Tamandua tetradactyla: one gene and its partners. The protein of the gene in region 2 purifies or fractionates together with the protein of the main gene of each other region. This does not show direct contact. Links are inferred from orthologs where the notes say so. Each region holds a gene or a part of one and is shown on either strand. Other genes may lie near its edges. The genes, in order: DERL1, FAF2, UBL4A and SETDB1.

Region 1 (7,384 bases), on a different chromosome or scaffold from region 2:
ATCTTGTCTATTCCAACTCCCAAATCTGTCCACTTCCAACTTCAGAGCCAACCCTGAGTAAAATTCACTATCTCTTTTGCCTCCTACCTTAACTCCTCTCTGACCCCATTACCTATCCCTCTTCAAAGTGCGCTCGCTCTCCCTCCCTCTCTCTCTCAGACACACACACACGTGTGCACACGCCATGGTAGGCAACCCCCACCTCCATTCCTTCTCCCACCGCGCATGCACACACATTCACGGAGTCCACCCAATGAAGTAAAAAAGGCAATCTTGTCAGTCCTTCACTCAAAAGCCTCCAGAAACTCCTTTTGCCCTCAAAATAAACTTCAACACACTTAACATGGCCTTAGAAAGCCCTATAAGATCTGGCCCTGACCTACTTTTCCAAGTTCAGTTTACTGCACATACCCCTGACTATCTTCCTGTCCTCATCTACTGGGCCTCATTCCTACAGCTCACTTCACCAGCAATTCAGTCGTCTGCTCCTTGTTACTGCCCCTAACCTTTTCACTTCCTATTCCTTTTTCTTGGAAGGCTGTCCCAGAACAAGTTCTTCCCCAAGGCTGGCTGCTGTTACTCAGGATTCAGTTCAAATACCTTATTTGACACCTCTCTGGACCACACTGTCAAATATTACACTCCACTCTCCATCACAGGCCTCTCTTTTATTTTCTTCATGGGAGCCAGAACTTCTTCTGATCCATTCATTATTGTATCATCAGTACCCAGCACACAGCTGGTACCCAATATCCATGCACTTAACCAATAAATAAGCACCTGCTATGTGCCAGGTACTAGTCTAGGGAACAAGGTAGTAGTAAACAAGACATAGATTCTACTCTCATAGAGTCTTACACTCTGAGGGGAAGCAGAATAACAAATGTTAAGAAGTGATACATGGCAAAGAAAAGTAAAGGTAAAGGAGACAGTGTGAAGGACAGGTACTATTTTATGTAAGGCTATCAGAGAAGGCCCCACTGGCAAGGTGGCATTTGAGCAGAAACCTGAAGGAGGTAAGGAGATAAAGCAGAGAGCCACAGTTATCTTCCTCAAGAAGGGACCACCATGTGCAACAGCCCTGATGAGGGATCATTATATGATGAAGGAACAGCAAGGATGCCACTGTGGAACCTAAAGTACAAGGAGGAGAAGAGTGGGAGATGAAGTCAGAGAAGTAGCTGGGGGGCTTGCAGGCCACTGAAAGGACTGAGACTTTACTCTGCCATCTGAGAAGACACAAAGAGCTCGGAGCAGAGGACTGACAGGACTTGTCAGGATCACTCCAGCTGTTTGGAGAAAAGATTGAAAGGAATAAAATTGGAAGATGATAATGGATTGCGATGTCTAAGGTAGACTCAACATAATTTGCTGAGCAATTGTGGAGTGTGACAGTAAGAAACGTCAGAGATGACTACAAAACTTTACAGAAGCTTGAGCTTCTGTAATACTGGAGTTGCTATTTACTTCTAAAACAGAAGGCAGGAGAATTCCATTTAGAACATGTCAGGTTTGAGATGCCTGTTAGTCATCCAAGTGGTGATCTCAAATAGACTGTTGGATCTACAAGTCTAGAAAAGAGGACATCTGGACTGAAATATATCTGTATTTGTATTTGGGGGTCTTCAGTTTAAAAAGTATTTAAACCCACCAAACTGAATGAAATCACCCAGGTGCAGAATATAGAGAAGAGGTCCTGCAACTGATCCCTGGAGCACAACACAACATTTAAAGGTCAGGAGAGGACAAGCAAAGGAGACTAAGTAGCCAGTGAGGAGAAGCAAAAATGAGTGCTATCCTCGGGCTAAATACTGCACTCACTGACTTTAATCTCAAATCTTGGTATCTGACCTACAAGCAATTAAAGTTAAACTACTAAAAAAGGTGAATAAAAATAACCCCCAGTAACTTAACATTCTCTTACCAGGTGAACACTCTACATTGTTTCCTCAGGCCTAAGAAAATAACAGCATCTCCCATTTCTGGTGCAATTTACTCTTTATTCATTCGTACATTAAACTACTACATGTCAACAGTAGTTTAAACTGAGGGAGACGCAGATTAAACAAACACCTCTGAACTTCTGACCTCCTACAGAGAAAAAAAAATTCCCTTAACATGAAAAGGACTGATCACTTCGATATCTGCCAAGTTGGAACCTACATGCCACCCACGTGGGTGACAGATGTAGGTAAAAGGCATGTGCTCCAGGTCGTCCCACCCAGACTGCTAACCTTGGCGTTTTGGGGGTCCCAACACCGGTATCCAATATTGACAAATGTCACTGACTTACCTTTTCACTGCCTCCTTCACCGAGTGCGGAGCGTGGGGAGCACAATCTTAATACAAGGACAGGGTCGGTCCCTTCCTACCAGACTAAACCCACGTGTCCAGCTCTCCAGGTCCTCGTTACAGACCCCTCGGCCTCCCTTCCAGCCCAAGACCCCGCCCTAACCCCCTCGAGCTGATGCACTACGAATCCCAGCAGACACCGCGCGCCCGCAGCCTGCTGGCAAACACTTCGCAGCCGCGGGGCCCCCTGGGGCCTGTAGTCTCCACTGACTCAGGAGCCGGACAGTACCTGGAAACGATAGAGGAAGGCTTCGGGCCAGAGGAAGAGGTAGGCCGGGCTGATGAGGCCGAGTTTGCCGATCAAGGGCACCGCGACAGTGGCGGCAAACCAGTAGCGCGTGATGGCCGGGATGCTCCTGAACCAGTCCCCGATGTCCGACATCTTCGTCACTCAGGTAGCCAGGATGTGCACAGCCGCCCGACTCCGGTCCTGGCCTCCCTCCCTACGCGGCCGGCTCCGCGAGTGGAAGGTGTAGAGGGAAGCCCCGGTGCAGAAGGCGGAGACGGGTGGACGTGGCGCCACCGAATTCGGACAAGCGAGGGAGCGTTCCGAGGGGAAACTTCCCCTTCCGGCGGCCGCAGACAACGTGACCAGAAGTCCCGCCGCTTAAAGGGCAAGAGTGACTTTTACCACTGGGTCGCGGGTCCGCAGCCCTGGGGACGGGGCGGAGCCGTGAGGGGCGGGGCGAAGGCAGGACTGGTGGGAAACAGTGGTTGTCTGGAGCAACGACAAATGCTTCAGCCAATGGCGAGGCCGGATACCCTCCACCTTTTTTCCGCCAGAGATAGAAAGCAGGTGGATCCACCGTGGTAAGTATTTAAAGGGAAGCAAGCTGTTACCGCGTGTTTGTGTTGTTTCAGCAAATGGTTGTTGAGGGCCTACTGAGTACCAGGCTGAGAACATGGTACCATCTCTCTTAGAGCTTACATTATTAGGAATAGACAGATAATGAGCAAATAAATAATTGAGTAAGATAATTTTGGATAGTGATAAGGAGAATATAATAGGGTGATGGAGTAGACTGAGGCAGGGGCGGGGAGGCTGTGGGGAAAGATGACTATTTTAGATGAGAATGGTCAGGGAGTCCTCCTCTGAGGAGATGATGTTGGGCTGCGCCAGCCAGGCAAAGATAAGGGAAGAGTTTTTCATGTAAACAGCTGCTCCACCTTGCTTGGAGTGTTGGAGGAACTGAAAACAGAAATGATCTTGATGTTCATGTAGTTCACTAGGCAAGACTTAAATTACAAGCACATGAAAGTTCATCTTGTTTAATTTTTTTTAAATCTGTAAAAAAGAGATTGATGGAATTTTTTCTTTTGTTTTCAGATTTCGAGCCTACAGCTCAGAATTGATAAAGCCCTGTGATAATACCAGCAGGAACACTCCTGTAGTGCAACAAAGATTTATAAACTTTGTTTTAAACAAAGGAGATTGCACACCAGCAGAACTCTGGGCTATCTTACCAAACAAAACAAGACAGGGCTATTATTGGTTATTATGAGGAAAGATAGAGTTTTTGGTAAATTTAAATCAAGTGTTTTGCTATGTTCAAAGCAAAGCAGGGCTCTGTGTAAATGGGGTTAACATCAGGCCTAGGCCTAAAGTGGGAAGCAGACTATTTTAGTTTTCTAGGCTGCTCAAGCAATTCAAATTTATTTCCTTACAGTTTGCAGCTAAAAGAAAGTCCAAACCAAGCCATCATCAAACTGATGCTTTCTCCCGGAAGACTGACATTCTGGGGATGACTGCTGGTAATCCTTGGTCCTTGGTTTGTCACTTGGCACAACACATGATGGCTATACTGGTTTCTCCCCTTCCAGGTCTGTTGATTTCAGCTTCTGGCTGCTTCCCCTCTGGCTTTCTCTCTGTCTGTTTGAATTTCACTCTGCTTATAAAGGACTCCAATAATAGGATTAAGACCCATCCTGATTGAGGTGGGTTACACCTTAACCAGAGTAATTTCATCAAAAGGTGCTACTTACAATGGGTTCATACCCACAGGAATACATTAAAGCATGTGTTTTTCCAGGATACGTACAGCTTCCAACCACCATACAGATCCAGAGTCTTCTTCCCTTAGAAACCTCAAAGTTAAGATAAATGTGGAATACTGGGCCTGAAATCTTATTATTCAAGGCTTTACACCTGGATTGAAAATACTACATCAAAGCAACCCAAATGGCTCAACTCCTCCAGACAGGAGAAAGATGTTCCATTCACACACGTTTAAGTTCAAACCACAAAGTTTTTGACAGTTTGTGATTTTAGATAACATTTCTTAGCACCATGTCCATGATATTAACAAAATCAGCATTTACAGGATAAGAAGACAGTAACTATTCCGCAGCCCAATGAACACAAACAACATTTGGGGACCTAATAAATATTAAATGCAGAGAATATGTGAAGAAACCCATTCATACATGGTAGGAGTATAAAGTGGCACAACCTTAGGAAGACAATATTGATATAAAAGAAAAACTACAATGTTGTATAAACAGTGGACATGTTGATTAAATTATCTCCATGGAGATATGACACACCCAATTGTGGGTGTGAACTTTTGATTAGAAGGAGATGTGACTCCACCCATTCCAGGTGAGTCTTTATTAGTTTATTAGAATCCTTTAAAAGAGGAAACATTTGGGAGAGAGCCAGAAACGACAGAAACCTTGGCGTTGACAGAGAGTGAGCCAACAGAAACTTCAAAGCACAGCTGACACAGATACCGATATTTGGAGAATAGAGACACAGATGTTTGGAGATGCTTGGAGCCCAGCAGACATTGCCATGAGTGAAATGTTAAGCAAGCCAGAACCCAGAGAAAGCCAAGGGAAGTCAAGAGATGAAAGCCAATCCCAGAGAAGCAAAGTGAGGAATCCCCACAGGGACAGAGGCCCAAATGGCCAAATGAAGTCCAGGAGCAAGGGACCTGCAAGGGACTAGCTTGCTTTCCCAGCTGACAGAGATGTTCAGATGCATCCGCCTTTCTTAAATTAAGGTATCTTTACCTGGATGCCTTAGTTTGGACATTTACATAGCCTTAGAACTGTAAACTTGTAACTATTTAATAAATTCCTTTTATAAAAGCCATTCCAGTTCTGGTGTATATTGCATTCCAGTAGACTGCAAACCAGAAAAGGGAGCTTCACTTTCTATTCTCCTTCCTTTAGTCTCAAGGACGCCTTTCAGAAAGCCTCATCTATCTAAGCAATTTTCTCATTGTATTTGGGAATGATCTCACTACGTGTCAAGACACAACATCACTTTTCCCCTCTCCTCTGAATACTGTCCTAGCTCAGCTGTAGATGCCAAATCCTTTTGATTATACATGAAGCACTGCCCTTGGTTGCTTTCATGTATGTTTTATGAGAACACCTAGCCATGAATATTTATTTAAGCAGCTTTGAACACATGCTTTTGATTTGCTTTTTCTATTCTGACTCACAGTAGAATGGGGGGAGGGTTGGTACTGATGCACTATGTCATAGTTCACTTGCAGTGGCTTCTGCCTCCTTCTGCCCCTGATAAGGCCAAATAACCACGTCATCTAGAAAATGGCAAATGTTGCTTGGGTTTGCATCAGTTAGCTTGTATGACACATAATTCTTTTTTACTGATGAAATAGAAGTGTTTCCTTTGCAATGTCAGTTTTCCTACACAAGGTGTCAATAAAACCTTGACATTTAACTGTTGCCAGTTTGGATTCCTTCCAAGGTGACTGAGTTGGTCAACACTTAAACACTCTTTATTTCAATTAGAACAGCAACTACCCTATTTCTGCCTCAAGTCTCAAAGTCTTTTTAAGTGATCTTCCCACTGCAGTTAGAAGGATGTATCCAGAAACCACTTCAAGTTTCCCTAGAACCTTTAAGGACAAGATCCTAACTCTTTATAATGGCAGTCCAGGTCCTTTTATGACTTTTGCATATTCTTACTCTTATGTTCATACCCTTCACCTTGGCAGTAATATAAAAATAACTACCATCATCATCATCATCATCGCGGGCTTTCTAAGTGCTCAGCACTTACATACATGTTACATACATAATGACACCCAGTGCAGTCTGTGCTTTCACTGCACTGAGCTCCTCCCGTTTCTGGAAGACACCATGCTGTTTCCCAACATACACACACACACACACACACACACACACACACACACAAACCTTTCTATAGATGATGTTTCCTCTCCTCACTTTTCCTCCACCTGGATAACCCTATTCATCCTTCCAAATTCAGCTCATGTAATGCCAGTTCCTAAAACCTTCCATCTCTTTTTCTTCCAATTCCATCTGCTTTAGAAATAAAAGCAATGTTTTAGCTAGAGTAACCATAGTACAGGAAGGACAGGAGGCCAGTGGTGCTGCTGGAACAATCAGAATCATGGATGTAAATGCTACCAGGATGCTCTCTTTCCATCTCTTTTTTTTTTTTTTTTTTTTTTCTGATTTTGCCTGAGCATCAGTCCGCCTCTCTCAGATCGGCTGTCTACACAACGCTGAAGCCACTGCTTTTGGCAAGCCCCAGGTTTTACTACCAGAGAGGGACTATGACTTGCTGTTCTTGGTCTTATACTCAAAAATCCAAGCAAAAGGCTCTGATTGGCTCTTTAGTCAAGCCCCACCCTGGGCCAATCACAGTGACCCAGGTGGGCTAAAAAAGTGTTGTATGAGAGCAGTGCAGTTCTTAGTATGGGGAGGGAGGGCCGGGCAGGCAAAACTAGCCGTGTCTACATTCCTACCACACTTTGCCCTAGACCCACTTCCTCTGTGCTCTTGAGAACCATTTGTTGAGCAACACTCCCTTTAATGTATGAATAAGTCCTTTTTTACAAGGGGAATGGAACAGAATCTTGTTATACGGGTTCCCAAAGATTTGTAGCCCAGGCTAGCAATCAATCATTTTCTGGTCCAAGGCAGTCTTTTGGAAAAAACATATAAATCTGGTGCATGAGAGGCAGAAAAACATAGGTATGGCAGAGTGAGATAATGGAGCCAGACAGATCTACATTTGAATCTTGGCTCAGTA
Region 2 (7,315 bases):
GTTATGAAGTATGTAAAAACGTGGATGGACTTGACATTATGCTGAGCGAGATTAGCCAGAAACAAAAGGACAAATACTGTATGGTCTCACTGTTATGAACTGACATTTGTGAATAAACTTAGAGAATTTCATTGGTAACACAGACCATCAGGAGATAGAAATAAGGTAAGATATTGGGTAACTGGAGCTGAAGAGATACAGATTGTGCAACAGGACTGATTGTAAAGACTCAGAAACGAATAACAATACCACCTAACTGTAATACAATTATGTTAAAACACTGAATGAAGCTGAATGTGAGAATGATAGAGGGAAGAGGGCTGAGGGCACAAATGAAATCAGAAAGAAGGATAGATGATAAAAACTGTGATGGTATAATCTAGGAATGCCTAGAAAGTATAATGATAGTGATTAAATGTACAAATTTAAAAATGTTTTGCATGAGGAAGAACAAAGGAATGTCATTACTGCAGGGTGTTGAAAATAGATGGTAATTAATATTTTAAAATTTTAACTTATCTGTGAGTCTAGAGCAAAAAAATGTTTTTTTGGTACAAAATTTATATTTTGACTAGTGCAGTTCCTAACATAACTTATGTGGACAGCTTAATTGAACACTGTATGTACATGGAACCTTGAGTAGGGCATAAGATTTGGTAGGTTTGTCCAGAGTGATGCCCTAATAAACCTCAGAGTGATTTGAACAGTGAGTAAAAAAGTATTTGCAAAGTCCCCTTGGGGGAATGGTGAGAAAGGGGGAAATTTCAACTCTCCCCAAGTGGAGAATTCTTGATATTCTCATAAGCAGTGGGGACAACAAAAGCAATAGGCTGAGTCTCCAATCTTGGGGCTTGTTCATACGAAACTTAACCCCACAAAGGATAGGTGAAGCCTACTTAAAATTAGGCCTAAGAGTCACCCCCAAGAGAACCTCTTTGGTTGTTCAGATGTGGCCTCTCTCTCCAGCCAATACAACAAGCAAACTCATCACCCCCCACCCCCCGCCGTCTACATGGGTACATGAGACATGACTCCTAGGGGTGTGGACCTTCCTGGCAATGTGGGACAGAAATCCTAGAATGAGCTGAGACTCAGCATCAAGGGATTGAGAAAACCTTCTCAACCAAAAGGGGGAAGAGTGAAATGAGACAAAATAAAGTATCAATGGCTGAGAGATACCAAACAGAGTTGAGAGATTATCGTGAAGGTTATTCTTATGCATTAAATAGATATCGCCTTGTTAGTCAAGATGTAATAGAGAGGCTGGAGGGAACTGCCTGAAAATCTAGAGTTGTGCTTCAGTAGCCATGTTTCTCGAAGATGATTATATAATGATACAGCTGTCACAATGTGACTCTGTGATTGTGAAAACCTTGTGTCTGATGCTCCTTTTATCTACCTTATCAACAAATGAGTAAAACATATGGAATAAAAATAAATAATGGGGGAACAAGCATTAAATTTAGTAGATTGAAATGTTAGTGATCAATGAAAGGGAGGGGTAAGGAGTATGGTATGTATGAATTTTTTTTCTGTTTTCTTTTTATTTCTTTTTCTGAATTGATGAAAATGTTCTAAGAAATGATCATGATGATGAACATGCAACTATGTGATAATATTGTAAATTACTGATTATATACGTAGGACGGAATGATCTATGTTAATGTTTGCATTTGTTTGTTGTTATATTGTTAAAAAAAATTTTAAATAAAAAAAAATGGCAATTCTGTCCCTGATTCAGATAAGTTCTGAAATCTAGAAGGCCCAGCCTGTCGAGAACATCAGATAGTTTCATCTCCTTAACCCCTATATTAGTGTTAGACCCTTGCAATATGAAAAAGTTAGAATGGCCATAGCCCAAACACCCCTAAAGAGAGAGAAAGATCAAAGGTGATGGTGGAGTTATACAGTGACAATAGGATTTATCAAATGAATATGAATGCTGAATCATTAAACTGATACCTTTTTTAGTCTCGAGTATCTTAGAGCAGCTAGAATTAAAAGCCTAAAATCGTGGAATTATAATCCATGTCAAATTCTGAAATATGTTCTACAACTAATTGTGGTGCTGTACTTTGAAATTTATTGCTTTTTTGTATACATGTTATTTTTCACAAAAAAAAAAAAGGAGAAAAAGTTGATTGTGATGATAAAAAAAATTTAAGCCTTCTAGCCTCCTATATTCTGGAGCAGTTAGAAGGAAAAAAATCTGAGGTGATCATATGGCAGCCCATGACAAACTTTGGGATCTGCATAGTAACTACTTGTTGAACAGTGCTTTGAAAACTATTGCTTTTTTTATTTCTTTGCTTTGTATACATGTTATACCATACAATAAAAAAAAAAAATACAGACAAAAAAATGGCAACTCTGGTCTCTCACATGGAAGCCGTCAGCTATAGCTAAAAAGCAGCAACTACCTTTGGACAAGTGTTCTAGTTTGCTAGCTGCCGGAATGCAACATACCAGGAATGGAATGGCTTTTAAAAAGGGGAATTTAATGAGTTGCAAGTTTACAGTTCCAAGGCTGAGAAAATGACCCAATTAAAACAAGTCTATAGAAATGTCCAATCTAAGGCATCCAGGGAGAGATACCTTGGTTCAAGAAGGCCGATGAAGTTCTGAGTTTCTCTCTCAAGTGAGAAGGCACATGGTGAACACAGAGTTTCTCTCTCATCTGGAAAGGCACATGTCAAACACAGTCAGGGTTCCTCTCTCATCTGGAAGGGCACATGATGAACATGGTGTCATCTGCTAGCTTCTTCTCATGGCTTCCTGTTTCATGAAGCTCCCCAGGAGACATTTTCCTTCTTCATCTCCAAAGGTCGCTGGCTGTTAGACTCTGCTTCTCGTGGCTATGTCATTCTGTTCTGCACTCTCTGAATCTCCCATTTTTCAAAATGTTTTCTCTTTTATAGGACTCCAATAAACCAGTGAAGACCCACCCAAATGGGTGGAGACATGTCACCTAATCCAGTTTAACAACCACTCTTGACTGGATTACATCTTGAGGGAGACGATCTAATTACAGATCCAAACATACAGTATTGAATAGGAATTATTCTGCCTTTATGAAATGGGATTTAGATTAAAACATGGGTTTCCTAGGGGACATACATCCTTTCAAACCAGCACAACAAGTAATGGCTGGCCCTCCAGTTTTCCATCTGGTGTCCCTTGCACTAGGCAAATTCTTACAGTAGAGTTTTAAAGAACAAAAACGAAACATTTCCTGTAACCAAGTCTTTATCAAAAGATGAAAACAGAAAGACAAGAGGATATATGCTTCAGGGCGGGCCACGGTGGCTCATGCCGGAGAACTCGGTTCGATTCCCAGTGCCTGCCCATGCAAAAAAAAAAAAAAAGAGAGAGAGACTATATGTTTCTTTGAGGAAATGAAGAACATTCAATGGTGATGAACAGAACTACAAAGTATTTCTGTTGAATGAATATATCTTAAACAAACAACAAGCCAAAGAAAGTTAGGATTGTGATTTGCCCTCTCTGTGCTTCACTCACTTATGTGACCTGCCTGACTCCGGAGGACATCTGACTTTGAAAACCCACATCTAGATTGTCTGGACCCAACCTTATTGGAAATGCTGACTAGCATCCAATCTCCCTTGAGTTTCGAGTTGATGGAATAAATTCCTGATGTTAACAGCTGTTTCCTTCCAAGCTAACCTTAAGGGTCTAAGAAGAATGGCCAGGAACATTGTTCGCGAGGTTTGTGGAGACCTGTTAAAATCTGATACAGGCCTGTAAGGAAGTGGTCAAAATCCAAGCCCTTTAATCTCTTAGTGTACAATTCCAGTACTTCAGTTTTCAAAGCGCTTCCTACCTTCTGTCACCTGGTGAGCTTTACGAAGCGGGCAGGAGCAGGAGTCACCAGATGAGGGCACACCGGACAGTGGGGACCGGGAGGCCAAGCGCCCTGCTGGAAGTCACACGAAAGCATGTATCAGACCCAGACCTCTCTGCCTCCCCAAGCCTTCCGGAGGGTGGCAGGTAAACGGCAGGAAAGAGAGAAGTGGAAATGGAAAACAGGGATCTGCGAAGAGGAGGCAGGCTGGAAGGGGCAAGGAAAGGGCAGGGGAGAAAGAGATGCAGGGGGGTATACGGCCCTGGAAACAACCTAAGGGAAAGGTCTTCTTGTCCGGAAGGTGAGAAGGTGATAAGCAGAGGCGGCTCGTCTGAGGCTGTCCAGAAACCTCATTCCACCAATGGCAAAACGGAACCCAGAGATGAGGTGGTTTGCCCATTTCTGACAGCAGGGTGGGTGGGAACTAGAACCTAAATCTGATCCCAGTCCAGGTGCGAGAGAGACATGAGAAGGCATGAGGCAGGCAAGGAAAGGGAAAGGCTCTACCGCTAGCTGGTGAAGCCGTTAGCTGTCAAGGACCCACAGGGGTTCAAACACCCTTAGCAAGCGACTTTGAAGTTGCCGCTTAAACGCGACCAAAGCCTCCCGCAGTTTCCGGGTGGAACGCGGCGTCGGAAATGCCCCACCGGCATTCGGGGACTTTTCGGAACGTCCCGAGAGACGGTCAGGAGCTCGAAAATCGAGGCAGAGCTTTTGGACACGTCAGAGCAGGAATCTAGCATCAAACTGCCGCCGATAGTTCAGAAACTGCATTTCCTGAGAAGCATTCGGGAATGTCCAAGATCACCGGGGAATGGTGAGGGAGCAGGAGAAATGAACCGAATGACACTCGGGAGTTTCCGGAGCTGTTCGAGGCCCATTCGGGATCTCTCGGCTCTTTGAGACCCATTCAGGAGTCTTAGGTCTCTCGTTGCTCCGTTCAACGCCTGTGTCGTGCGGACGACGCGTGCTAAGTCCAAAAGCGTTCGGGATCGGCCTGAGAGTGGCGCCCTCCGACGGCGGGAACTGTCACCACTTCTGGCAAGGCCTCGGTCGGGGGGCCAGCACGCGCAGACGTACTTAGTCCCTGGCGGCCGCTCGGCCCGGACGTGGTTGCCGTTGAGGTCATTTCCGGCGGGTGACGGTGCGGACGGGTCAGAAGCGTAGAGGCGGCGGCAAAATGGCGGCGCCTGAGCAGCGGGATCTAACCCAGGAGCAGACAGAGAAGCTGCTGCAGTTTCAGGTAGCAGCGACTACTTGGTGCGGCAAACGCCGCGGTGAAACGGGGGATGGGTTCCCCGAGGAGCCCAGAACCCTCCTTAGATTGGGCCCAGGCGGGATCCTTCTTAGATCAGCCGGCAGCCCCCTCCCCCCCAGATGCCAACTGCCCTGCATCCCTGGTTTCCCCGAGGCCCGGATCCTCTCTGGGTGCCCGGCCGTCCAGCCTCTTTTCCCTATCTTTTTATCCTTGGCGGGTCAGTTGCCTCAGGTTTTCCTCAGCGGCTCCCGTCCTCAGCCATCTTTCCCAGCCGGGCTACCGGTCGGACCCTCTCCGCCCAGCGCCTACTCTACAGATGTGTCGGAGGTGCTTAATCCCTCCCGCGGAGCTGGCTTCATTTCGGGTCTATGAAAAACTTCCTACCTGCAGGCCCTGTCTGTTCCTCCTACATTTACTGCTGGCCTCATGGCTGTCAGGTTTCCTCTTTGGTGGCGGAGAGGGCGCCTGTTGGCGGGTCTGGCCCCTCACCCTCAGAATCTTAAGTATTGACAGCGGCTTCTGAAGGAGCTCATTATTCAGGATTTATTCCTGGACTACTGTGCTTGACTGTGCCTAAGGAGGGTGATAACTTGCAGGGGTCTGCCTCCTTTTATTGGCTGTTGTGTTCAGTACATTTGGCACTAGGCATTTATCTCAGAGCTTGGAATCTGGTTGGAGAAGGCCACTAGGGTGGGTAACCTTGGCTGTTTGTTACCTTGGTGGATACCAGTTTCCTTATCTCTAAACTGTATATCTTAAAAATGTCTCCCTTCAAAGGATGTTGTAGAGATCAAGTAAGCTTATGGAGTCAGAAGTACTTTCTAAACTGTAAAATGCTCCCAACAATCTGCTGCCGTTCATTATTATTTAAGAAAGTAAAATTAGTGGTACACCTAGTTCTGCAATATTTATCAAGAGCCACAGTGCTCAGGCACTGTTAGGTACAATACCATTTATTGAGCATTTACTATAAGCACTTTGCCAAATGCTTAGCATACATTATCTTATTTAATACTCACAATAACCCTATGAGGTTGATACTGTTAGAGTCCCTGTTTTACAAGTGAGGACTCAAAGGCTTAGGCAGTAATATGCCTAGGTTACACAACTAGTAAGTGGTGGTGCTAGATTGAAAGTCAAGTCCATCTTTTCAGAACCTTTCTCTGGCTCTTCTGTGCTGTGCAACCTATATGTAAGTTTTAGTGTATAGCTGAAGGAGTGGAATGCAAATACTGTGATGCTAAGTTGTGCTGTGTTTTTTCATGTGTGCAAGTTCTCACTTTAATGTAATTTCCTTGAGTAGATTTCCCTATACTTAATTTTGAATTTTTTTGTCTTCCCTCATGGAATGGGTTCAAAGTATATAAAAGGAAAAACGATTGAAGAATTAGCTGACATTTGTTTAGAGTTTTTGAATAGAGAAATTGATGACACAGCAAATTAGAATCAAAGATAGATGAACAGTGGACAACTAGCTTCCATTTTCTACTAGATCACCCATTTCATTGGGAAGACCTTTTTACCCTTCTTACAGGGGTAAGTCCCAGTGTTTTAAGTGTAATGAGTTGATGTAAGTTATAAATAATGATGTGCTTGGTCTGGTATCAGAAGAGCATGAATATGTGGTAGTATTTCTGAGGTAAAGTGCATAAAAACTTCCATTTTGTTTTCGGTGGACATCTAGATCAGTAAGAGAGGTGGGTAGTAAGTTAAAGTTGTATTAAGGTTGCTTTATGAAATTGGGTTTAAGGAGGAGATACAATTTGCATTTATATATTCTTTTATTCACCTCTTGATCATATTCATCATTCAGATTACCATTAAACATTCTTTGAAACTTACTAGGTGTCAAGTGTTATACCAGGTAGTTTAAATCTCTTATTAACTCTGTAAAGTGTTAACCCGTGTTTATTTTATTAATGAAGTAACAGGTTCTGCAAGGTCAAATAATTCACACAAGTAGTAAGTGACAGAGGTTTAGAAATCCATATCCATAGCCATCTTACCTATAACCTTATGGGAGAAGCCAGATTTAAACACAGATAATGGGTATCCTGCAAGGTATTAGTGCTTGTGATGTAAAGTGGTATGAACACAGTGCTGTGAGAGCTTAGGAACAAGTCAGAGTAATTATGGTAAGGGGGAAGAAGTATGTCTTATAGTTACCTTTTATTGAGAATCTGCTATGCCCTAGG
Region 3 (6,099 bases), on a different chromosome or scaffold from region 2:
GGAGGGACTTAAACGGACAGGGGGGCCCTCATCAGGCAGAGTCAATGGCTGGGGGTGCCAGTATGGCACAGGGCCTTGCCCAAGGTCCCACCCGAGAGCCCCCCACCTACTTTCCCTTCGTTGAGAGCACACTGGCCACAGCAGCCCCGGGGAGGCTGAGGGTGGGGGCCAGGCCTCCCATAGGGGTGAGGGCAGGCCTGGGCTCCTGGGCAGTGGCTTCCCCTTTCGGGCTTAGGAGAAGAGTTGCTCAAAGATGCATCTGCGGTGGGCTCAGCACTGAGTGCCGAAGCCTGTCCCTTGGAAGCCTTGGAAGCCACTTGCTGCTTTCTCACCCTGAGGTACTTCAAGAGGCTGGCTCCTGGCTATCCCCGCCTCTCCTGAGGGGTCCGTGGGCGAGCCAGGCCAAGTGTTTTGAGTGGGGCGTGGGCTGTTATTACTATGATGAGCCACGTGGCAACCTGAGAACACATTTCATGCAACATGCAGCTACGGCTCTGCCCCCCCCACCCCCCCCCACCCCCACCCCCCCGCTCCAAGACCCTTATTTGGAGAGCCCCTTCTCCAGGGCCTCGGTCACTTCGGGGTGCAGGAAGCGGCTAGCCAAGCGTTCGATGTCATCCAGTGTCAGGCGGCTCAGGGACCTCTCGTAATCCTGAAGAGAGAGGGGCCAGGAGGACTCAGGGGGGTGGCGGTGCCAGAGGCAAGGTCTGGAGGCAGCTGGGACTGGAGGGACCGGAGGCCCAGGGCGTGGGGATGCTATGCAGTTCTCACCCGCTGGAGCTGCTCCAGGACCCGACTGGCATCTGCGGCGCTGAAATGTCGGCCTAAGACTTTGGAGATCAGCTGCCAGGTGGCGGGGGGTGGGGGTGAAGGCGGCGCCTCGGCCCGTCTCCGGGCCGTGTCTGCTTCCAGCAACACCTTCTCCAGGGGCTTGACTGCTAGGTTGAGCTTGGAATTGGGTCCGATGCTGTAGTCGGACAGTCGCTTCCCATCTGCCACAGCCAAGTGGGTGGCGTGCCTTACCATCTATGGCTGGGTGCGGGGGAGAGCGGGGGCGCCCCCGAGGAAGTGCTGCCCACCCCAAAGAGCGCACACCGAGGAGGCCCTGGTTGGGGACCCTGCTTCGGCGCCCGAGGGTCAAGCAGGGCACTCGGCGCCCGCCGGGGGGCAGGGCGCGGCCTCTGACACCCAGCTCCCCGACTTCCTGCGGGGCTCCCTGGGTGTCTCCACCCGGGTTACCTGCCAGGGCCTTGCCCTTGAACAGCAGCCGCTGCTGGCGCACGGGGACGTTGAGCTTCTCGGAGACCAGATGCTTGAGCGTGGCCACCAGCTCGTCCTCTGACACCTGGACGGGCCGAAAGGGGGTGGGGGGTGGGGGTGGGAGCCGGGGTTGAGCCCGCCAGCCTCGGGCCGCGCGGGGGTGGGCTCCCCGGCCGCCCCGTCCCCACCCGGGCCGGGTCCCGCGGCGCGCCGCTACCTGCAGGCTGCACTCCCGGCCCTGGAGCGCCTTTACCGTCAGCTGCATGGCGGCCGCCGCGCCGTCCACTGCGGCCCGCGCGCGCCCTCACCGCCCGCCGCCGCCGCCGCCGCCGCCCCGGGAGCGCGCCGGAACCGCCCGCCGCCGCCGGAAGCAGGCCCCGCCCCCGTTTCGCCCCGCCCCCTGGGGGAGGAGTCCCGCCGGCCGCCCGGCCACGGCCACGCGCGCGCGCTGGGGGCAGAGCCCTGCTGGGGGAGGAGGAGGCTCGAGGTGGGTCAGGGGGAGCCCCGTCCGGGGAGCCGGGCCAGGGGGAGGTGGCAGGTTCCCGCGACCGCGCTGGCCGTCTGCGGCCCGATGGGCTGCCTCTCCCGGAGTCCGCGAGCTTGTCCTGCTCTGGGCCCAGGCAGTGCGAGCGGGGTGACTGGAGGGGAGGGCCGCCCCGCCCTGCCCCGGCTAGCTCCGCGTCCCGATTGCTTTATTTCCCCCCCGCACCCACCCCCACTCCTTTTCTGGTCTAGCTGTGGAAAACCCAGCTGAGTTTGCGAGCAGGCGGGGATTGCCCAGCCCCATCCTCCCACCGCTGTCTTCGAGAACCCCGAGGCCCCACCCCTCACGGGGTGAGGGAGGGTGGGGCCTGAAAGAGCCCGACGCCCATAAAAACCAAGGCCTGAGCGCAGCCTCCTTGCCCTCCGCAGCTGCAGATGCCCAGACCAGGCAGGACCCGGGGGCACCTGTGCTCAGGCCACCGCGCCCGCTGGCCGGCCCTCCACCCTGGTGCACACCTACCCGGCACCTCCGGCCCCCAAAGGGCAAAGATCAAAAGGGACCCAAGCTGGCTTTCTCTCTTTTATTGAAATATCGTTTTGCCGGGCAGTGCCCTCACGCAGCGTGGCCTCTTTGGCACTGAAAGCTGGAGAATAAAAAAATCGGTACAAAAAATAAGCCTGGATTTTTTTTTTTTTTGAGTGCATAGTGCATGAGAACTAAAGGCCTTTGGTACACGCGGACGGTGGGTGGGCCGTGGGGCCTCGGGTTGCTGGAAGCTGGGTGCTCAGGGAACTGGGAACAGGCTGCTGTAGATGAAGTGGCCAACCACCATGGCCAGCATCTCCGAGGTGCCGCTCAGCGCCACGATGAAGGGGGCCTGGGAGGCGTAGTCGGCCTGGAGGCGGCGGAAGGACAGCTGCAGCACGGCCAAGGCCAGCAGGCTGTTCTGCACCCCGACCTCGATGCTCACGGTCCGCCGCTGGGCCTCAGGCAGCTTCAGGCACCTGGCCAGGCAGTAGCCCACCAGGAGGCCCACCAGGGGCACCGTGAGGCCGGCCAGCACAATGGGGAAGCTGACGCCCACCAGGATGAAGACCCCCATGTGGTAGGCCAGGAAGAGGCCGCCCAGGAGGAGGACGAAGCTGAAGGGCTTGATGACCTGCAGCAGCAGCTGGGAGAACTTGGGCAGCTTGCACTTGATCACCACCCCTGCCGCGATGGGGATGGCGATGAAGAGCAGGGTCCCCAGGATCTTGGAGATGGGCAGGTGGAGCGTCTCGTGGATGCTGAGCAGGTGGCTGTACATGGCGGAGGACAGGGGCAGCAGGCCGGTGGCGGCCACCGTTGAGATGAACGTCATCGAGATGGCAAGGGTGACGTCCCCTCCGAGAAGAAGGCTGAAGAGGTAGCTCCCCCCACCCCCGGGTGAAGAGCAGGTGACAATGAGGCCGAGCGCCAGGGCCTTGGGCAGCATGAAGGCCTTGGCCAGCAGGAAGGCGTAGAACGGCATGACAAGGAACTGGCCCAGCAGGCCAAGCAGCATGGGCTGGGGGTTCTGCAGAAGCCCCTTCAGGTCCTGGAGCTCCACCTTGCACCCAAACGAACACTTGTTGACGAAGATCAGCGGCAGGAGTAGGTAGAGCAGGGGGTTCTCCGAGAAGTGGACCAGGTCGGTGCTGAGGCTGGTGGGCGTGTCTTCTGCCGGGGAGACCTTGATGCGGAAATCTCTCCGCTCCTCAATCACCACGGGCTGGGCCTCCCGGTGGTCCAGGAGACTGATGTGCAGTGGGGCCAGCCCCGCCAGGCCGGAGCGGATGCTCACCACGAAGCCACGCCCGCCTCCCCAACTTAAGGCACTCACGTTCTGGATAGTTAGCACCTCCGTGTCCAGGGAGGTGACCCTGAGAGTGGGGCCGGGCCCTGTCCCGTTGTGCTGGCCTGGGTACCGGCTAGAGATGACGATGATGCCCTCGCTCTCCTCTGGGAACTCAAACTCCATCACGGAGCCATCCCCAATGTTCAAGTAGTGGGCCCCCGGAAGCGGCCCGGTGGGGCCCAGAGCCATGCCGAGGCTGGCCCCGGCTGTCCCTCGGACCCCCCATGGCAGGCTGGCCAGCAGCAGGGTAGCCCTGAACATGGCCAGGGGGCCTGTGCAATGACACCACGCGGCCTGGTGCCCCTTGGGGCTGGCCCTCCCTAACAGCATGGCTTCTCCCGGGCCCTCCTGGGCTTAGGAGAGCAGCCCAGCTGGTGCCGTAGGAGCGTCCTGGGGAGGGGCCATGGGCGAGGTCTGGCTTGTGCTGCCTTCCTTGATGGTGTGCTCTCCCTGAGGACAGAGGGGACACAGAGAGGAAGCCGGTGAGGGAGACTGCATGCCTCCGCGGGTACCGGCAGCTTGGGGGATGTGGAACACAAGGGCAGTGCCCGCTGCTGGCCCTTGAATCTCTTCAAGCTGTCCCCTGTCCCGGCATAGCTGCCTTGCCCAGAGGGGCACCTAGGGGCAGGGGTTCTGTTCAGTCTGCCGGTCTCCACGGATGTCCCTGGCCTGGCCTATCGCAGTGACAGTGCAGAGATGTCCTGAGTCAAAGGGAGTCAAGGGGAGTCACCCCAGTCCTGGCACCACTCCAACTAAACTACGTGTGCCTGTCCCCCACCGCCTTTGCCTTGGGGCCACAGTGATCCCACAACCTGGGTGAAGTCTCTGAAAGGCTTCCTGGAGATGACAAAAGCAAAAGCTGCTGCTGGGAAATGCTGGTCGGGCCAGACCTGGGCACCTTCGACCAAGTGGGCCAGGGAGTTTGAGCATCATTTCTGGGGCACAGCGAAGTCAGCAAAACCATGTGGGCAGTGAGTGACCACCAGAAGGCCCCCAGAAACATGGTTGGGGAAGCTGCTGCTGTGGCTACCTGGCTGCCCTCCTTGTGGACAGCAGAAAAGGCAGGTTCCCTTTCCCTGGGGAAGTTGCTGGAAGGAGCAGCAGGAGGGGATCAGATAGGGCCACATGTCTGCCTGGGACTTCTCCTTTTCCCCACATAGCCCCCACACCTCTGGCAGTGCCAGAACTTGAGCTTCTGGAGCTGCAATATCGTATCTGCAAGGCTCTGCTCAGAATGCAGACACTCCTCTCCCCCCACCCCACCCCTCACGCATTCTGGCCACAGCCTCTAACTCTCAATGTGACTGTGAGTGTGTTGGGGTGAGGGGTGATGGGGAGAGGGGTGCTCAGAGCTAAAGGGCCAGGTTTTCCTCCCTCCCCTTCTGGATTTCCACAACCACTGCCTTATTGTCACATCACCTGCTGGAACTGGGGCAAACAGGATGGGGACAGTTGCATGACAGGACTCTCAGTTGCCTCACACCTCACAGAGTCACGGTCACGGAAGAGCCGCCACCTGTTCCCCCAGTTCTAGTACTCTTTGGCCCTGGCCTATGCCACATTGGAGACTGGGGAGGAGGGGGAGGTGGGGGTGGGGTGGAGGATAGGTGAGGCAAATAGGTCACCACCACTCCCCACCCACACACACAATGACACGGCCTCTGCTGGTTTGGGAGCTTCGGTCACCCACCCCGAGGCCTTGGTGGAACCTTGAGTCCCACGGGGTGGGGATGGGGGTGGGGTGGGGAGGGATGCTGGAAAATCAGAGGACTGGAGGAGACTCACATGGACAAGATAAAGGCACCCTGGACCGAAGCCACCAGGGCGGTGCCAAACCATTTCAGACAGGAGAGAGGGGCCACGGGCCACCCACCCCCATGCCCCCATCTTCCCGGAATGGCTGGCGGCGTTCAGTCACCGCGCAGACTAGACCCCAGACCCCTTCTGCCAGAAGAGCCGGCGGGGTCGGGCCAGGCGGCATGGCAGGGCACGCTGTGGAAGCCGGGCCCCTGAGGCGTCGTCCCCCCTGGCCGGGCTGTGGCGGCGACGGTCGCGGGAGCCTCCCCACCTGGGGCTCCGGAAGCTCGCCCAGCACTCCCCGGGGTCCGAGCTGCCTCTCGCTCCCGGGCGCCAATCGGGGAGACCCGGTGGGAGCGCGGGGGTCAGGGCAGCCCTCGTCCCGCTCCCGGGACCCACGGCCGCGCCGGGCCTCGAGCTTGCGAGGTGGCCGGCCCGGTCCTGCCGGGGCGCCGGAGCGAGGCTGGGGCCAGACGCGGCCTTCCGCCCTCCCGCCCCCCGCCCGGCCCGGAGGCGCTCACCTTCCGCGGCCGCGGAGCTCGGCGCCGGCGCCTGCCGGGCCCGCCGGACGCCTGTGAGCTCGGCCCTCGGGGCTCCGCCCCTCCCCGCCTCGAGGCCCCGCCCCCGTGCCCGCCCCCTCCCGCGGCGGACCACTCACCTCTCGCGTCCGGGTTGGGTTCTG
Region 4 (7,293 bases), on a different chromosome or scaffold from region 2:
AAGCCAGACACAGAAGACAACAGACTGAATGATTCTGTTTTTAAAAAACTTCTAGAAAAGGAAAAACTAGAGCAACAGAAGGCAGATCAGTGGTACCTGGGGGTGAAAATGGGGATTGATGGGAAACAGGCACAAGGGAACTTTTAGGGGTAATCCAAGTATTCTAAAACTGGATTGTGGGGAAAGTTGCAAAATTGTGTAAATTTACTAAAATTCAAACCATACACTTAAAATGAGTGGATTTTATGGTATGTAAATTATACACACATAGGCACTAATGCCACCTACAAAGAAAAGCAAGGGAATTCAGAATAGAGATTATCCAGGATAGGGAAAGGAGGACAATGCAATTAGACATTGTATTTATTATGCTAACAATATTCTATTCTTTTCCTCTAGCAGGCAAGTCAGGTAGTTTGGAATATGAAGTTAGTGATAACAGTTTCTCCTCTTCTGTTTTCATCTGCTCCTCTTTCAGAGTTTCAACTTCAATCTTTGAAACTTCCCTATCCAAAGCCTTATCTCTTACCTGAATCAATACTGAGGACATCATCATCTTCATCAGGAATCTCAATTATTTCTGTAGGCCGGGAAGCTTCATCCTCAGAGCTACTTTCCCGATACTGCAGTCCCAGCTTGGAATAGAAGTCCTTCACCAAAGACTCACAATTAGTCACTGCCCTAATATTGGAATATATGTAGAAAAGCAGAGAAGGTAGGTGTAAGAGTCGTTAGGATTTATATATATTTAAATATAGACTGCCCTTAACTTACAGACCATATTCCAAAGTGTCTGTTTAGAATTTGGAATGCTTACCATAGAAAAACATTTTAAATGGTGGTATGGTTTCCAAACTAGTTCCTTGAAAATCTGGAAAATAAGTTCAAAGTCTTTTCAACCTTACTTCATAATTTACTTTGTGATTATTTGAAAATATGTTCTCAGTGACAAAGAGGGCACCAGAAACTAATCTTTTTGGGGTTTAGAAGCTGATAGAAGTTTTAGGAACTCATTAATGCTCCATAACCACATAAGTCAGAAACTCATGACAATCCTCACTCCTTAGGTGATCTTACTAGGGAAAAAAGTAGTAAAGCATAATGTGTTTGGCACTGTGTCATGAACAATTATACTTTAAAAAACGCCAACGGAGAGAGTTCCTTCTCGTTTTCATGCAGTCCTCACCTGGACGCATCATCAAAGAGCTGATCAACATGGGCCACTTCAGATTCCTTCTGTATTACCCATGTCTCCAACTCTGCTAGCTGCTTCTTGCGTTGCTGTACACAGTCCATCTTTTCCAATTCTTCATCAATGAACTGCCGAAGTTCCTCCATAGAAATGCCCAGCTCCTCCACTACTGCCTGTTGCAGCTCTGCAATCTCTTCAGACTCCACTGCAGCTGTTGCTGCATTCAAACCAATGCACCCAGGGAGGGAGGACATCCTGTTGTCCTCTGCATGGAACAGAAAACTAAAATTACCTTTAGGGTCATTATCACCACAATTAATAAAGAATTTCAGTTCCCTAATAGGGAACTTATTCCTACTAATAGACTTATTCCTACTGTGCTGTTATCAAAAAAAAAAAAACAAAAAAAAAACAGTTAAATTTGATTCTATATTCTCTCTTCCAATTCTCCAGAACCTGTTGCTGAGATTTTGTAGAGTTCTCAGCTCACACTACAGACTAAGAGGATTGATTTAAAATTTTGGGAGGGCATGGAGAACATGATCCCATAGGCTATCTAGTTATCTTACCTTAAAACTCACAACATATAAATGTTTATTTTAGCTGTCAAGTTCTGTACCTGCATCTCATATCAGTATATTACCAAATGTCAGGAACTGCTTATATTTACATTGTCCTTTCTTTTTTTTTTTTTATGCAGCATCTAACATGTAACATGTAACATTTAAGCCAGCGAGAGAGCTTTTGAAATGAGCCTTTAAAATTAAGTTGGAGGCATTCCACGTGGGGAAAATCCATGAAAGCGTTTCAACAACTTCGGATGTTTGGGGGTAAACCATAGGTGGTGGTGAGATACGAAGCTGAAAAGCTAACTTGGGGGCCGTATTGCAGAATGACGTGAGAGTCCCACTGAATAAGTTTTATTTAATTCATTTTGTAATACGGAGCTACTGAAATGTTTTAGGAAACTGAAGAGAATCAATCTACAGGTCAATCTTTTTGACCTAATATGTTCTTTATTTGACTAATGAAACAGAACTATGTCTACATATTATGCCAAATTTGAACAAATACCCTCAATCGGGGAAAGATTATCTGTAGCTTACTTTACACTTGATTCCCCTACTTTGCTTCCATGAGAAAATGTACATCTACATTTGATTGTTGTTTGTAATGCCCCTTAAAAGGCTACAATGCGTAAGCACAGGCAAGCGTGTAGCAAAAAGAGGTTTCTTCGAAGGAAAGAGAAATAAATTAGTCTGGGAATAAAATATGGCTACCAAATAAAATTCACAGTCAAAATAACCCTCGTTAGTATGAAATTCTTTTTCGATCAAAAGTTTAAAGCAGGACTGATACCGAATTCTGGGTTTAAAGAAAGATTGATGCTGAATTCTATGCCAGTTCTCTGTCCTCCATCTTTCCTTTCCTCACACTCGCCCCTCCCCCGTGCTACCCATTTTAGGGGTACGTTCCACCCACCCGCAATCCAGGCTGAGTCCCGCCCACGCTCGCTTCGTGGGGAAACTTCCTTTTCACCCCCACCCGACCTCCTCCCGCAAACAAAAATCCCACCCGGGCCTTTAGGCTCCGAATACCTCAATTAACAGTAGACCCCAAACCTCCCCGCATCCCGCTCCAAAAGCTCTGCTTTACCAACCAGATCCTAGACTTACGACTTAGGGATCGGCCTCCACGGGAAAAGGAAACAACGAAACCGAAGGGAAAAGGGAGCAGGGGGAGGGATGGAAACGCGAAAGAGGGAAGGGGAAGCTGCAGACACGCCCGGAAGTAAACCTTAAACACTGTTCCGGTCACGGCGACGGTAGCCTGACGGGGTCAAACCCAAAGCCGCGCGGAGTCCCCAGAGAGTCTAGGCCAACTAAGGCAACCACGCATGCGTGAAGCCGAGTCGGCTACCGCACACGTGAAAAGCGTTTGCTCGCGGGTCCGGTACTTTGAAGAATCCTGCGGTGCTTCTCTGCTGGTAGCGACAGAGCTACATTTATCGTGTAAAGACTCACTCGGCAAACACTTAGATTTAGAGTTCTTTTCTCACTTTTATTTGAATTTGTATTATTACTTAAGTCGTAGGAATTTAGCAAGTCGAAAGGTAACAAGATGTAGTTAGAAAAATGTAATCTCCTCCCCTTTCCGCCGTCACTTCCCCTACTCCTTTGAGGCGCTTACATACACATTCATGTATGGAAATTGTTTTGTTTTCACTTAACATGGGTATATCCCTTGACGTTAATAAAGGTAAAATACCCTTTTGACAGCTATATAGTAGTTCGTAGTATAGTTAAACCATATTTAGAAATTTAGTTTGCAGTTTTCAGCCACTACAAACAATGCAACAATGCAAAACATTAACATTATTTTGAAGTAGTACTTTTTTGTTGAAAAGATTCCCCAAAATGGAATCTCGAGCAAAAGATAGGTACATTTTTCATTTTAGTAGAAATTACTTTGCAAAAAGGTAACAGTTCACACTCTGATTAGCAAAGATCTTCTCTTGAAACATTAATACTTGTTTGTCCTAGTTTGGAAATGTTTACTATAGCTTTCTCCTCCTCTACATTATTTTTATTTTTCTTTTAGCTCTTTTTTTCTCGTCAGGAAAACTTCCAGAGCTTCCTAAACGGCATGTCTTGTAGATTAATTCTACATGTAGCTCTAAAATGTGGTTCTGATCATGTCACTCACTTCCTTTTAAAGGTTCTGTTTTAAAACATGAGCATGCTGATGTTCATATCAGCACTATTCACAATTTTCAGAAGATGGAACCAATCCAGGTGCCTGTCAACAGACGAATGGATAAACAAAATGTGGTATATACATGTGATGGAATATTATGCAGCAGTAAGATGAAATGATGTCCCAAAGCATATGACAATGTGGAGGAACGTTGAAGACATAATGCTGAGTGAAATAAGTCCGACACAAAAGGACAGATACTGTATGATTCCATTTTTACGACTGTGATCAAGTTAAAGCCACCAGTGTTTTGGAGCAGTAGAAGGAAAAATTTGAGATGAGGGCATGGTAGTCCGTGACAAACTGTGGGACCTGTTCTGTAGCTGCTTGTTATGAAGTGTGCTTTGAAAATTGTTTTTTTTCTTCCTTTTCTGTATGTTATATTTTACAACTAAAAATGGTTTAAAAAAAACTATAGGCAATTATAGTAATACTAGATAAAATAAACACCTGAAATAAAAATTTGAAAATATTTAGGAACATAGATCACTACTATAGCAAAGGTGATATTTGTGATAACTTTTTACTTGATATTTTGAGAGTGCATACAGAATGCCTAATCAAATGGTATTTAAGATAATGTCTAATGTTTACAGTTCAAGTAACTCTGATATCTGTATTTATAGATTTTCTTCCTTCCTTGCTTTAATTTTAAATTGGTTTATGAAACATATTGTACAAACAGGCTTTATGATGATTCCTTAGGTTTTTTTTAAATATGCCTGTAGATAAGCTAACTAGGATATCCATTTTAGGTGGTTAAGATTCCCATATGTCAATGGTAAAAATATTTGTATATTTATATTTTCCTGAAATGAGGAAAATATTTAGTAATATAGATCATTACTATAGCAATGCAGATATTTGTAAGAACTTTCTACTAGATATTTTGAGAACATTCACAGTTTTGACAGCTGATCAAATGATATCTTAGTTTTTAATACTTAGAGTTTAAGAACTTTGCTATCTGAATATGTAGATTTTTTTTCTTGTTGCCTTAATTTTAAACTGATTTATGAAACTTGTGCAAACACAGGCTTTACAATAATTATATGGACACTTTATTTATGCCTATGGTTAAGCTAACTTAGATATTCATTTTTGTTGGTTTTAAGTATATTATTTGTTTCCTTAAATAAAAAAAAACTAAACAAAAAGGAGTAACTGTCCTAGACCACTATCATGGTCAGGTTCATGTGTCAGCTTGGCTAGGTGGTGGTACCTGTTTCTCTGGTTGGGCAAGTGCTGGCCTGTCTGTTGCTATGAGGACATTTCATACAATTAAATCATGATCATGTTGGCTGCACCCACAGCTGATTGCATTTGTAATCAGCCAAGGGGCGTGTCTTCTGCAATGAGTGATGCTTAATCTAATCACTGGAAGCCTTTTAAGGAGGATTCAGAAGAGACAGCTATCTTCCTGCTTCAGCCCACGAGCCTCTCTTGTGGAGTTTGTCCAGACCCTCCATCGGAGTGGTCAGCTGCACAGCCTGCCCTGTGGATTTTGGAGTCATCCATTCCTGTGGTTGTCCAGCTAGCCTCTCCTAAGAGTTCATGAGGAACTTCATCGGAGCTGCCAGCTTGCAGCCAGCCATACAGACCTTGGACTCTACGTTCCCACGGTTATGTGAGACACTTTTATAAATTTTATATCTGCACATATTTCCATGCTTCACCCCTGCAGGATTAATTCCTGCCTCTGTGTTTCCATTGCCTTAGTTCATTCCGCTAGTGAGTTGACTTGCGTATGTTTGTTTCCTCTGGCTTGTGATCAACTCAAGAGTCTGTCTTAATGACCTTTGTTTCTCCTAGCACCTACACAGGGGGCCCCTTAATGTATGCTGAATGAAGGGAAATCTTTGCTATGCCCTGGTTAAGTATATTTCCGTTAGATTCTTGCAGCTTTCCAGTGTCTTTGTGGGGGAGGTGGGTCTGGTGAGGAAAAACAGGAGCTGCTTGGAGCATCATATTCCAGTTTGATTTCTTCATTGCCCAGAAAGCTAAAGTGGTCAGTCCTGTAGAAATCAGCAGAGAGATGCAGGAAGTGTGCTCTAAGGCCTTGCTTACTCAACATGCAAGGCCTTAGAGCATGAGTTGTGCAACTAGGTGAATGAACCATGAGAACAGAATGTTGAGTGAAATAAGCCAGTAATGAAAAGACAGATAGTATAATGCATCACTTATATGGACTAACTACAATGTGCATACTCTGAAAATTGAATTTGAGAGCAGAGATGGTCAGGAAAGTCTCATTGTAAAGGTTCATGCTCTAAGGCCTTGCATACTCAACATACTAAATATGTTCAAAATTCGAAATCTCCAGTCCTGCTCAAGATGTGCCAAATCCAAATTTGCATTTTAATAAGCCTACAGGCTGATTTGTTTGTACATTAAAACTTCTCTGAGGCAAACTCTGGATTTCATCTCTCAGCTTCTCTTGGCTTTCTCCAGGTTCTGGCTATTTCTGTGAGTTCTTGCTCAGCACCCAGAGTATTTCTGTTTTCATCTCCAAATGTCTATGTCTGCTGTCTGTGTTGGCTCCTTAAGGACTCCAGTAAATTAACTAACACCCACCTTGAATGGCCGGGGTCACATCTCCATGGAAATAATATAATCAAAATGTCCCATCCAAACAATGGGTCTGCATCCCCAAGATTGGATTAGGATTAAGAGAACATGGCTTTTCTGGGGTACATAACAGTTTCAAACCAGCACACAAATGCTTGTGAGGAAGCAGGGTTTCCCCAAGTGGAGAAGTTTTAATATTTCCACATTTTTCCCTAGTTCCTCAATGGGATTTTTAAATCTTCTGTACCAGGTTACTCTGGATGTATCAGATTATCACACTAACCTGTACAAACCAACAAAGTCTCACTCCCTTTTCAAGGTTCCATGTAATTATTGTGTTCGAATAAACTGCCCATACAAATTAAATTAGATAGTGTGCCATAGAAAATATAAATTTTGCACCAAATAAATATCTCTTCCTTTGGTCTCACACAGAAATTGAAGTTTTAAAATACAGTCAATATCATCCTTTAACCTTTCATCTGATTGACCTTAGTCCTAACCAGATCAGCTTTGTTCATGTCTTTAATTGAAGGCTGACTTCTTTTTCAGCTTTTTTTTTTTTTTTAGCAGTTGCAGTATGGGGTAATGCTGACTTTCATAGCTGCAGAACTGTAGCTCTGAGGCGCAAGTTTCACACAGATACCTGAAATTCCAGGGAACAACCAGGTTATATACAAAGAACTCTCAGGAATAGATGTGACTGCTGTAAGAGCCTGCAATCTAGGAACCTTTACAATAAGTCTTTTCTGATCATCTCTGCTCTCAAATTCAAT

The links.
Region 1: the proteins of FAF2 (region 2) and DERL1 purify together in Homo sapiens (affinity purification with western blotting; 4 studies listed by BioGRID and IntAct, with this or other methods). This does not show direct contact. The link is inferred for Tamandua tetradactyla from reciprocal best matches to the Homo sapiens genes FAF2 and DERL1.
Region 3: the proteins of FAF2 (region 2) and UBL4A purify together in Homo sapiens (affinity purification with mass spectrometry; 3 studies listed by BioGRID and IntAct, with this or other methods). This does not show direct contact. The link is inferred for Tamandua tetradactyla from reciprocal best matches to the Homo sapiens genes FAF2 and UBL4A.
Region 4: the proteins of FAF2 (region 2) and SETDB1 purify together in Homo sapiens (affinity purification with mass spectrometry; 3 studies listed by BioGRID and IntAct, counting the BioPlex papers as one, with this or other methods). This does not show direct contact. The link is inferred for Tamandua tetradactyla from reciprocal best matches to the Homo sapiens genes FAF2 and SETDB1.

Annotation. Positions count from the first base shown.
Region 1 is NC_135332.1:167,569,833-167,577,216, forward strand, and holds the start of DERL1 (derlin-1), read right to left. Parts: upstream 3,021-7,384; 5' UTR 2,735-3,020; coding exon 2,582-2,734; intron 2,422-2,581; exon of another isoform or gene 2,294-2,421; intron 1-2,293. UniProt on the Homo sapiens protein: Functional component of endoplasmic reticulum-associated degradation (ERAD) for misfolded lumenal proteins. Forms homotetramers which encircle a large channel traversing the endoplasmic reticulum (ER) membrane.
Region 2 is NC_135346.1:57,868,010-57,875,324, forward strand, and holds the start of FAF2 (FAS-associated factor 2), read left to right. Parts: upstream 1-4,308; 5' UTR 4,309-5,042; coding exon 5,043-5,105; exon of another isoform or gene 5,106-5,264; intron 5,265-7,315. UniProt on the Homo sapiens protein: Plays an important role in endoplasmic reticulum-associated degradation (ERAD) that mediates ubiquitin-dependent degradation of misfolded endoplasmic reticulum proteins.
Region 3 is NC_135353.1:6,801,568-6,807,666, forward strand, and holds UBL4A (ubiquitin-like protein 4A), read right to left. Parts: upstream 1,576-6,099; 5' UTR 1,526-1,575; coding exon 1,478-1,525; intron 1,346-1,477; coding exon 1,240-1,345; intron 993-1,239; coding exon 772-992; intron 653-771; coding exon 542-652; 3' UTR 521-541; downstream 1-520. Other genes in the region: SLC10A3 (P3 protein), read right to left, coding at 2,529-3,950. UniProt on the Homo sapiens protein: As part of a cytosolic protein quality control complex, the BAG6/BAT3 complex, maintains misfolded and hydrophobic patches-containing proteins in a soluble state and participates in their proper delivery to the endoplasmic reticulum or alternatively can promote their sorting to the proteasome where they undergo degradation.
Region 4 is NC_135330.1:4,640,191-4,647,483, forward strand, and holds the start of SETDB1 (histone-lysine N-methyltransferase SETDB1), read right to left. Parts: upstream 3,001-7,293; 5' UTR 2,869-3,000; intron 2,863-2,868; exon of another isoform or gene 2,791-2,862; intron 1,458-2,790; 5' UTR 1,447-1,457; coding exon 1,187-1,446; intron 682-1,186; coding exon 530-681; intron 1-529. UniProt on the Homo sapiens protein: Histone methyltransferase that specifically trimethylates 'Lys-9' of histone H3. H3 'Lys-9' trimethylation represents a specific tag for epigenetic transcriptional repression by recruiting HP1 (CBX1, CBX3 and/or CBX5) proteins to methylated histones.